3 linked regions of the Coturnix japonica genome follow. The protein of the gene in region 1 purifies or fractionates together with the protein of each later gene. This does not show direct contact. Links are inferred from orthologs where the notes say so. Each region holds a gene or a part of one and is shown on either strand. Other genes may lie near its edges.

Evidence for each region.
Region 2: the proteins of SLC30A4 (region 1) and FUT8 purify together in Homo sapiens (co-immunoprecipitation; 3 studies listed by BioGRID and IntAct, with this or other methods). This does not show direct contact. The link is inferred for Coturnix japonica from reciprocal best matches to the Homo sapiens genes SLC30A4 and FUT8.
Region 3: the proteins of SLC30A4 (region 1) and PDS5A purify together in Homo sapiens (affinity purification with mass spectrometry; 3 studies listed by BioGRID and IntAct, counting the BioPlex papers as one, with this or other methods). This does not show direct contact. The link is inferred for Coturnix japonica from reciprocal best matches to the Homo sapiens genes SLC30A4 and PDS5A.

Annotation. Positions count from the first base shown.
Region 1 is NC_029525.1:9,470,971-9,473,598, reverse strand, and holds part of SLC30A4 (zinc transporter 4), read left to right. Parts: intron 1-1,502; coding exon 1,503-1,637; intron 1,638-2,272; coding exon 2,273-2,427; 3' UTR 2,428-2,628. UniProt on the Homo sapiens protein: Probable proton-coupled zinc ion antiporter mediating zinc import from cytoplasm potentially into the endocytic compartment. Controls zinc deposition in milk.
Region 2 is NC_029520.1:20,165,671-20,169,326, forward strand, and holds part of FUT8 (alpha-(1,6)-fucosyltransferase), read right to left. Parts: intron 3,408-3,656; coding exon 3,231-3,407; intron 490-3,230; coding exon 339-489; intron 1-338. UniProt on the Homo sapiens protein: Catalyzes the addition of fucose in alpha 1-6 linkage to the first GlcNAc residue, next to the peptide chains in N-glycans.
Region 3 is NC_029519.1:62,385,647-62,389,402, forward strand, and holds the start of PDS5A (sister chromatid cohesion protein PDS5 homolog A), read left to right. Parts: upstream 1-1,220; 5' UTR 1,221-1,392; coding exon 1,393-1,419; intron 1,420-1,514; exon of another isoform or gene 1,515-1,531; intron 1,532-2,230; coding exon 2,231-2,401; intron 2,402-3,756. UniProt on the Homo sapiens protein: Probable regulator of sister chromatid cohesion in mitosis which may stabilize cohesin complex association with chromatin. May couple sister chromatid cohesion during mitosis to DNA replication.

The sequences.
Region 1 (2,628 bases):
AACTTTCAGCTAAAATAAATATCAGCCCAGACTCAGCTACATGCTTTGTTTGATTACTTGTAAGGTTAATGTGAACACATGTAAAAGGAAAAGACAAATTCAGGCAAAACATCTGGACACGTGGTTCATGTTTGACCTGTTTTTCCCTTTTCCACAAATGCGATAGTATTGCTACACGTCAGCTAAAACTGGAAATCAAAAGCAGCGTGAAAAGGAAGGAGGCAAAGAAAAGCAGCAGCAGAACATAGATAAGCTTATCATTTGTCCTCTTGTGGTGACTTAAAGGGAAAAACATCAGCAACATTCTTTGCATTATTGTAACTAATCTGCCCATGTTACTGCTTAATCTGGTACTTTCACGTAGGGGTGAGAAGAAAAAATCGTGGTTCTTAGCTGCACCATCCCATCTGTTCCATATGAATTACTGCTGACTTCTGCAATCAAAAATCTCAAAACCTTCAATGCCAAGTGCTTTCTTTGTCATTTAGGGAAAGAAAAAAAAAAAAGGACAATGGAATTTCTCTGCAAAGGCAAAAAGTGGTAAAATATACTTAAGAAATCTCATTTAGCTCCAAGGCAACATCTGAGATTTAGCTGAACAGATAAGGTGAACTAATGGTGTGTTGAATTCCAGATGTTTGAGTTGCACCTGTTTGCATAGGTATCCCAGCTGTTATCAAGATATCTGAATTAATGATGTTATTAATGTGATGAAAGATGGTCTTAGCGTGTATTAGGTAATTCTTCCAACTAATACTCAGTAGCTCCAGAGAATGGGCTTGCAAGAAATATATGTATATATATATATATATATATATATATATATATATATATATATATAAATACATAAGACATTCTTAAGGCATCCCTTCTGAGATAACATTTCAGTTTCCTCGCTGTAAACAAGCAAAATCTCAGCTTCTTGAAGACCATAAAAGCAGCAGCAAAAAACCACACAGAAACAAACCCAACTTCGATGTATCTCACCTGAAGATTATTCAAATACTTATTTCGGTGAAAACCTTCAATGATTTGTCTTTCAGTTCTGATTCAGAAATGTAACCGATTCAGAAGGAGAAAATGTATCCTTTTTTTTGTCAAGTTCTGGTAACATAACAAAGATTTTCAGGCTGAAAACCTAATTATGTGCATAATGATTTATACTTTTCTTGAAGTGTTTGAGCTAAGCAGCTATTAGGGACTAGGAGCTATAATACAATTGTATCTATAGAAGAACATTGCTCTGAAGGAAGACTGGATTCTGGAATGGACAAGCTATATTTGAGACAGCAGTGTAATTCCTGTACTGTTTCAGTATCCATACTGGAATCAATATCCCAATCTACATGTTCTTCTGTAACAGTAACTTAAAGTTACTCAATGCTTCCAACAGCGCAGACAATGAACCCCTTTAATGTTTTGAAAGTTGTCGTGACATTTTATTTGGAAGACTACAGACTTTGAGAACGACAGTTAATTTTATCTTATATTTGGTATCACAGGAGTTCCGAGGCATTTAAATGTGGATCGTATTAAAGAAGACTTGATGAAAATTGAAGATGTTTATTCTATAGAAGATTTAAATGTTTGGTCTCTCACTGCAGGAAAAACAGCTGCCATAGTCCACTTGCAATTAGGTAAGCTGCTATATGGCATAATTTTAGGTTCAGTCCAGCCAGGGGTGGGGAAGATGACAAAACTCAAAGCACTTTATCTCTCATCTTTATATTCATACTCACATCCAGGAAATAGCATTCTGGGGGGAAAAATAATCTATTGTTTATGCTCTTGTACAGAGAGATATAGAAACCATTAACCCATAAGGACAAAGTGTAAATGGAAGTTAGGAAAGAAAGAAAATACATTTATACTGAGGCATATTGGTCCCATACTGATCCAGTACAGAATTTTCTTTTTCCTATTTGATGGCGTTAAGTACTTTCCTTCAGAAATTCCCTTATGGAAGGATCTGATTCATGGATAAAACATGCTGATATTGACATCTAACACAACATCAGGTGTATCAGAGGAAAGCTTTCTCTGTAACCCTATTTAATGGGGACAGTTTTACCAAGATACAGTTCTAGATAAGAGATAAAGATGTAAAATAATACATATAATGTATGACAGTCACAGAACAATAGACAATTGATAAGAGGGTTTGAATAAAGACATCAGAGTTGGTGAGATCACGTGGTAAATACGAAGACAGATGGATTGTCCAGTTTTATCAAGGATTGAATGTTATGAAATCTTTTCCTGGTTTTTCCAGTTCCTGGTAGCTCATCTAAATGGGAGGAAGTTCAGTTCAAGGCCAGACAACTGCTGCTGAACACGTTTGGAATGTACAAGTGCTCTGTCCAGCTTCAGAGTTACAAACAGGAATCAAGCAAGACCTGTGCAAGTTGTCAGAGTTCCAGTGCCTAATCTCATGTTTTGGGAACTGCTGCCTTATTCTTTATCTTGTTGTCAAAGACTGAGAGCAATAAATTCAAAGTGAATGATAAAAATAATTAACATGTGGATTTGTACCATTTAACACGCAGCAGGGAGAACTGGTGCTGCAAGAAGCGCAGTGGTTGCCCTACAGAGCATTTCATTCTCTCCCTCGTGCTGGTTTATTAAACT
Region 2 (3,656 bases), on another chromosome or scaffold:
ATGCCTTAACTAAGCTGTGTAGAAACAAATATACAAGTTATATATTAACTTTATGTAAAACTAGAAAACTTTTTTTCTTAATTGAAATGCCATAATTAAGCCAATAACTTCAATAGGGGAGAAGTAATCAACCAGTGCTAAGTCATCTCAATTTTCACATATTATTAAAAATAAAAAAATTAAAAAACCCACAATAGTCCCATGAAATTTTCATCAGAGAGAACTGAGACCAAGATATCAGAAGCAAGAAGAAAAGGAAGATTCAGAACCAGTACATATATTCTATACTATTCAGAACCAGTACATATATTCTATACTGTATTTATACTGCAGTTTACCTGGGATGAAAATGTACAGACCAGGAAGTCCGCCTGAGACAAAAAGTGGATATCCAGAATAACACCTCTTAGGGAGTTTTCAGTGTATCGATTATGAAGTCCCGCTGACCAAGATATGGAGTTATCACTGATAAATTCATAATTTGGATACCTATGAAAATATAATACACCATTAACAGTAGAGTCTGGTGGTGTTAAGAAACATCATCTTTGCTGTAAGATAAGATAGTTAATGTGAGTCTCTCCTTTACACTCTAGAATATTACTACTTATTATTAGAATATTACTACTCATTATATTACACCATGCATACCCTCAATTTGTCAAAAGGAACTTAAATAAGAAGAAAGTCAAAGATATGAATGTAAAATACCAGGAAGTGGATGCTGTATTCTGTTAATCCTACTGATTCTACATGAAATGTACACATTTAGCTTTCTCTACTACTAAATGGAATACAGGACTGTCCTTACTAAACTACTAAATACTGATTATTATGACATGCAAGGAAAGTAGTCACCTCTAAAGGGACAAGTTAAATAAATTAATCTAAATTTAAAAGGAAACTGTTTTTCACAGTTAAGATTCTGTGGAGAACAGGTTTTGCAATTTAAAAACATTAAGCAAATCAGAAGTTTTTAACAGGTAACTATGACTTTGAAACAAAAAAAAAAAACCAACATATTTTTAAATCCTTGAAGGAGAATAGTCTTTCTCGGGATATTTTTAACCTTTACAAAGGAACTGAAATAAATGGCTGAAAGTAGCATGGATTAAGCAAACAGCCTCCAAACAAAGGGAAGTTTTATATGAAAAATTCTACAAAGATGCAACAAAGATGATAATTACACTGCTGTACCATTTTATTTCAGTCATGAAATGCAACTTGCGTTACTAACATGCCAACTACAAATCCACACTATTAGGCTAATTATAAAACAATTTAAATACAGCTTTCAAAACTCATTGCAACTACAAAGCACTTTATTACATGAGGTAGTAAAGTCAGCTAATACTATATTTTTATGAATTAATCATTCTTTAAGGGTTTAATAAAGAAAATCAGAATATAGCATATATAGAATACGGCATTCTGGGGTGCATTAAAAAAAGCATGGCCAGCGGGTTGAGGGAGGTGATCCTCCCCCTCTACTCTGCCTTGGTACGGCCTCATCTGGAGTACTACGCCCAGTTCTGGGCTCCCTACTACAAAAAAGACAGGGATCTCTTGGAAAGAGTCCAGCAGAGGGCCACAAAGATGGTGAAGGACCTGGAGCATCTCCCCTGTGAAGAAAAGCTAAGTGGACTGGGTCTGTTTAGCCTTGGGAAAAGAAGACTGAGAGGGGACCTGATTCAGGTCTATAAATATCTCTGGTGTGGTGGGCAAAGTGGCAAGGCCAGACTCTTTTCAGCAGTTTGTGGAGAAAGGACAAGGGGAAAGGGGCAGAAACTGGAGCATAGGAAGTTCCACATGGATATGTGCAAGAGCTTCTTTTTGGAGGGTGTGACGGAGCATTGGAACAGGCTGCCCAGGGGGGTTGTGTAGTCTCCTCTGGAGATATTCAAGACCCGCCTGGACATCTACCTGTGTGACCTGGTGTAGGGAACCTGCTTTGGCAGGGGGTTTGGACTCGATCTCTGGAGGTCCCTTCCAACCCCTACAATTCTGTGATTATGTGAATTCATTAAATATTACAACCTAAATTTTGTATTACCTGTCTTTTCATTGTTCAAATCTGCACTTTAAAAGTTATGTTACCCTAGTTGTTTCTGCTACTGTTCTTGTCTATATATATTAAAAAAAGGATAGATTAGATTTCCATCATCCACAGCTGAAACATATACAATGCCACCATATTTAGTTTTTTCAGAACTCCATAACTTTAAACAGCAGCTTTTTACAGATATAAAAGTAAAATACAAATCACAAAATCTAAATACACAGGCTTGCAAGGCTGCAAATAATTCCTGTTAGAAAATAACACTTTCCTGTTACCCTGTATACACAAAGAAAATCCAGTATGTTATCTTAAATATTTTTCCAACCGTGCTACCAAGTTCAGGTATTGCCATTCTCATGTTACCTCTGTCTTAAAAAAGTTTTCATTCCCCTGCTTAATAGAAAAACCCTTTCTTTTGCACAAAAGAAAAAGTTTTGGAAGTAGAAATAAGAGCTATTTAGTATAGAGACAAATAAATAGCACTGAAAATGACAATATGCTAAATTGCACTACTACTCTGAAGCAAATGCATTTAAATTCAATACACCTAGAGTACTTATCCTACTTTCCAGTCAGGGCAATAAGCATTTGTAAGATTGTTTATATGCCATAAACATCTGAAGGAATGTTATTAATCCTTGATGCATCTGCTTTCTTGTATTAAACAGAAATTTTTACCAACTCAGCAAAATTTACCAAACTATGGAACTTAACAAGTTTGTTTGGGAAAACACAGGCCGTATTAGGAGTAAATGAATGCATACATGCACTCACAGGTTTGAACAGTTACATTTGCTATGAGAGCTAGGGAAAGTTTGTTAGAGCCACATTCTAGAGAGCTATTAGACGAAGAGCAATAAAGAGATCAAGACAATGATACAGACCAAGAATCCCACATACATAAAAGATAAACCTTACATTTATTCATTGATAGAATGAAAAAAAACAACATCTTTTATGTGGTGAGTATACATATACATATATACATATATATATAAAGTCATCCATAAAAAGACTTTCTAAGAGAAAAATAAAAAGCATAAGAAGTTGAAATTCTTTGCTGTATAAAAGATCATAAAACAACAGTACCAAGACCTGCGCGCACAATAGCCAGAAACTGTAAACAGTAATTAGAAGAAACAAACTGTAATACAATCATAGTTCATCTTACTTGGATTTGGCCTCTTGCAATAATGAAGGGTCATCTGTAGCCAAATATACTCTCTTTTTATCAACATGCATTCTACGAGCAAGAAGTTCAAACCGCTCTTCAACATGCACCATATATTCTTCAATGGGATGAAATGCTGCCTCTGTTCCCACTTTGTCTGTCCTCCGAACATGAACACTGGAAAAGGACAGAAATTAGGAATTCAGCATACAAACACAACACATACTTAAGTAAGTGAAATTTTAACTTTAAATTTCATGCCTATGCTGCAAATTGAACCTGCACATAAAACAAGGGACAATTAGAATTAGTCACTGATATCCATCAAGACATGCTGAACTGAGAAATTAACTGCAAAATCTGAAACATATATCAGGCTTTTTAATAATATTAAGTCTACTGTCAGCCTCCTCTTGAATGCAATAT
Region 3 (3,756 bases), on another chromosome or scaffold:
AAACCAAGCACTTAGAACCAGATCTAAGCCCTTTGCCACTCTAGATCCCAAAAGCATTAGACTTCCTTAAGCATTTCCCACAGCTCTCAGCCATTTTCACTACCATCCTTTAGAGCTGGTTTCCATAGGCTGCAGACACCAAAGGCTTCCAGCTCAATCCAGGAAGACACTGCAGGAAACAGAGCATGAGTCTAGAAAGTTCAGTTCCTGCCCACACGATCCAGAAGTACCTGAGAGCTCCTCATGCTCCTGCCACTCCCCATAACCTGGCAGCAGGACCCTTCCTGCAAGCGGCAGGGATCACCTCCCTTCTGTTCCACACAACTCTGGTGCCCTCAGCCAGTCCTGCAAATGAGACACTTAGAGCTGGTCCGTGACCATGAATTATCAGCAGGATGAGCAAATGGATGGTACTTCCTGGACACCTGTACTTGGACACACATGGCCTAAAACACAGGCCAAAAAGGGATGGATAGATCCCGCTTTGTCAGTGACTTTCCAGACATATCAGAAAGTGGAAGGAATATGGCAGTACATAGTCCTTTTACAGGGAAGGAATCCCTGAGGGTGGTGGCAAGGCCCCTTCAGTCTGCACCTCCAGAGGTATAAACCTTCTGCCGGAGGTTTATACACGGAAATCCCATTCTGAGAAACTCATCTGCCAGCAGCAAAGGCAAAGCACACAGATGTCAACACACAGATGCAAACCCGGCTGGAGAAAGGCCATTCCGTGCCACAGTGCCACCATTAACCGCTTCCTCCATTCACCACGCAGGTCAGCCCGGCCACCATCCCCACTTCGGAAACGTGGGCCGAGCGGTACCTGAAGCGCAGCCACCGACATGTGTCCGCTCGGCAGGCGGGAGCGGCCGGCCCCATCCGCCAGAGCCCGCGGCCCCTGATCCCGCGGCCCCTGATCCCCCGGCCCCTGATCCCCCGGCCCTGCGCCGCTTTAGGCGCCAAGCGTGAGGCAGCGCCGAGGCGGCCCGTCCCGCACATCGCCCCGCGTGCGGCTCCGCGACTTACTGGCGGCCTCACCCCGCCTCGGGGCCGGGTTCGTCCCGCCTGGGCGGCGCTGCGGGTCCGGGCCCGGGCGGAGGGAGGAGGAAGGGAGGGAGGGGAGAAGGAGGGGGCGGCGCGGCGCGGCGCGGAGCCTCCTCCCGGCTGTTCTTCCCCGGCCGGACGGAGAGCGGCACTGTGTCCCCGCGGCGCGCGTTCGGCGGAGCCTCCCCCTCTCCGCTGCTGCCGCCGCCGCCACCGAGCAGCTCCCCCTCCCCCTTCCGAGCAGAGCCGCCGCACCGCCGCGCAGGGAGGAGGCGGCGGGAGCGGGCGGGCAGCGGCCGGCGGGGCGGCGGCGGAGCGGCGAGGAGCGGCCGGCGTGGAGGCCGCTCCATGCTGCACCTTCCGGAGCTGCGTGAGGTAAAGGCGGCTCCGCGTCCCGCGTCCCTCCCTCCCCGCGCCCCCCTCCTCCTTCTCCTTCTCCTCGTCCTCCTCCCCGCGGCCGGGGGGAGCCGTGCTCGGGGCCGGCCCGGTGTGTGGGGGGGAATCTTTGTGGGCCCCGCGGCGGCGCGCGGTGAGGGGCGGCGGGGCGCGGCGGGGCCGGGGGGGGGCTGGGCCGTGAAGTTGCGGGAACAAACGGAAAGTGGCGAGCGGCCCGGCCCCAGCCCCGGGGGGGGCTCCCACGGCCCGGGGGGGGCCGGGCGAGGGGCCGGGGGCGGGCGGGGGGGTTTTGTTTGCGATCGCCGCCGCCGCCTCCCTCCTTCCCCCCCCCCCTCTCCTGTTGGTTCCTCTGCCTCCCGATAGTTTTGAGGCCTAACTGTTTAGGCCTCGGCTCCCGGCTCCGCGCCGCCGTGCCGGCTCCTCGGCCCCCTGCGGGCCGGGCATCGCGGCCCCGCGCCCCGCCTCGGCCGCCCGCCGTCCCCGGGGGCCGGGGCATCCTTCGATCGGGGCCGAAATTTCATTGTAAAATCGGCGGCTCCCAACTATCGGTGTTGGGCTGGAGCGGCCCCGCGATGAAAGGAGGCGGCGGCGGGGAGCGGAGGGGCCGGGGCGGCGGGGGGCGGCGCGGCGGCGGGCCCGGCCTCGGGACGGCGGGATGCGGCCGGGCGGCGGCGGGGGCTCGGGCGGCGCGGCGGGGGCCGGGGCCTTCTGCGAATTGAGGGCTCGAAATGGAAAAAGAGGGTTAGAAAGTCGGTGCCATTCCGCTGAACTTTTGTTTTCTGACCGATAGAGGCCGGTAGAGGACTGTGCAGAAGGAAAGTTTCTGAGCAGCGGCGCCAGGATGGACTTCCCGGCTGCCCAACCAAAACCCGCCGCCGATGGTAAAATCATTTACTACCCGCCCGGAGTGAAGGAGATCACCGACAAAATTACCAACGATGAGGTGGTGAAACGGTTAAAGGTAGGCCGGCCTGGCCCCTCTTCTTGCAACTTTTGCTTCGCACAGTAAACGTGTCTCAGGACTGCCCGAGTTCTCCTGTCATAGCTGAAATGTCTCCCCACCCGCAGACATTCGTATGAATGCTACTTCCTTGCTTGTATCCAAAATAGGAGGAATTGTTGTTTAGTTGGTGACTTTCCTCACGTGTTCTCTCAAAGCTGGAATCAATATGGAGAACTGCTGATTTGTACATGAAATGCATCCACGGTGTTGGAGGGGGTTCTGAAGTGGGGTCATAATCGCTAATTTCAGGATATATTGCCAGTCTATTTGTTGATGAGCTAGGAGGTATCCCTGGGTTCCAGCAGAGCAAGATTCAATGGGGTGGGGGAAAATAATCAGGTCTAGTTTAGGGTATTCTGGACAAAAAAGACAGCATTGCTTATACCTAGCGAAGGTGAATTTCTGAAATTCATAGGTGGAGCTTTGGAATTGATTCCTATGTAAAAATTAATCATATTTTGCAGTTTAATACAACTCAAGTGTCTGGTGCTTGTCAAAGTTGCTAGACTTTCATAAGCAAAAGGGATCATTGTTGTAAACACACCATTTCTGCTTGTTTGACAGCATCCTGGAGGACTGTGAGGTTTTCTTTCATATAGATGCATGAAATGCTATGATACAGTACTACTATTTCTCAACACTGTGCCAAAAACAGAGAAGATTAAGCACTGACCAAATACTAGCACAGCTCATTTGTTAGCACCATGGTCTTTGGACCAGAATATTGTTGTGCCCAGGGTGGAGATGTGGTTTTTTTGAGAACAGAAATATTCTCTTATCTGCTGATGTGTTTCCCATCACAATCATATCCCCTCAAAGACTGAAAGATAGAAATTGAGGTCTCACCCAGTCGCTCAGCACAGTGGAAAGCGCCTGAACTATAAATGTGAAGAAACAGTAGGCACCGTTCTGTGCTCTTAGTGCAGCCAGGGCCTATGTCAGTTGTTTGAAAATTGAAATGAATGAAAATTGACCTCGTCCAATTACAGATGGGAAATTTGTCTGTTGAATGCAAGAGTCGAACCTGGTGTTTTCAAAACTGCGGTGGGGTATTGTTACAGAAGAACCTAGAGCTGTGTTAGGACAGAGACCTGGAATCAAAGAGCGTGTGGGATGGGCAGGAGTGCAGTTTTGAAACCTTCACGATAAACGGGTATTATTATTATTCTAATGGGAGAACTTGTACTGGTGAGCCATGCCATCCTAGAAAACAAATAGTAGGAATTCCAAGTCATACATATGTATCTCATTGAATTTGCCTGTTTGTGTGTCAGATGTGACTTTCAGGCTTAGAGGAGCTGTTCTTTTCTCAT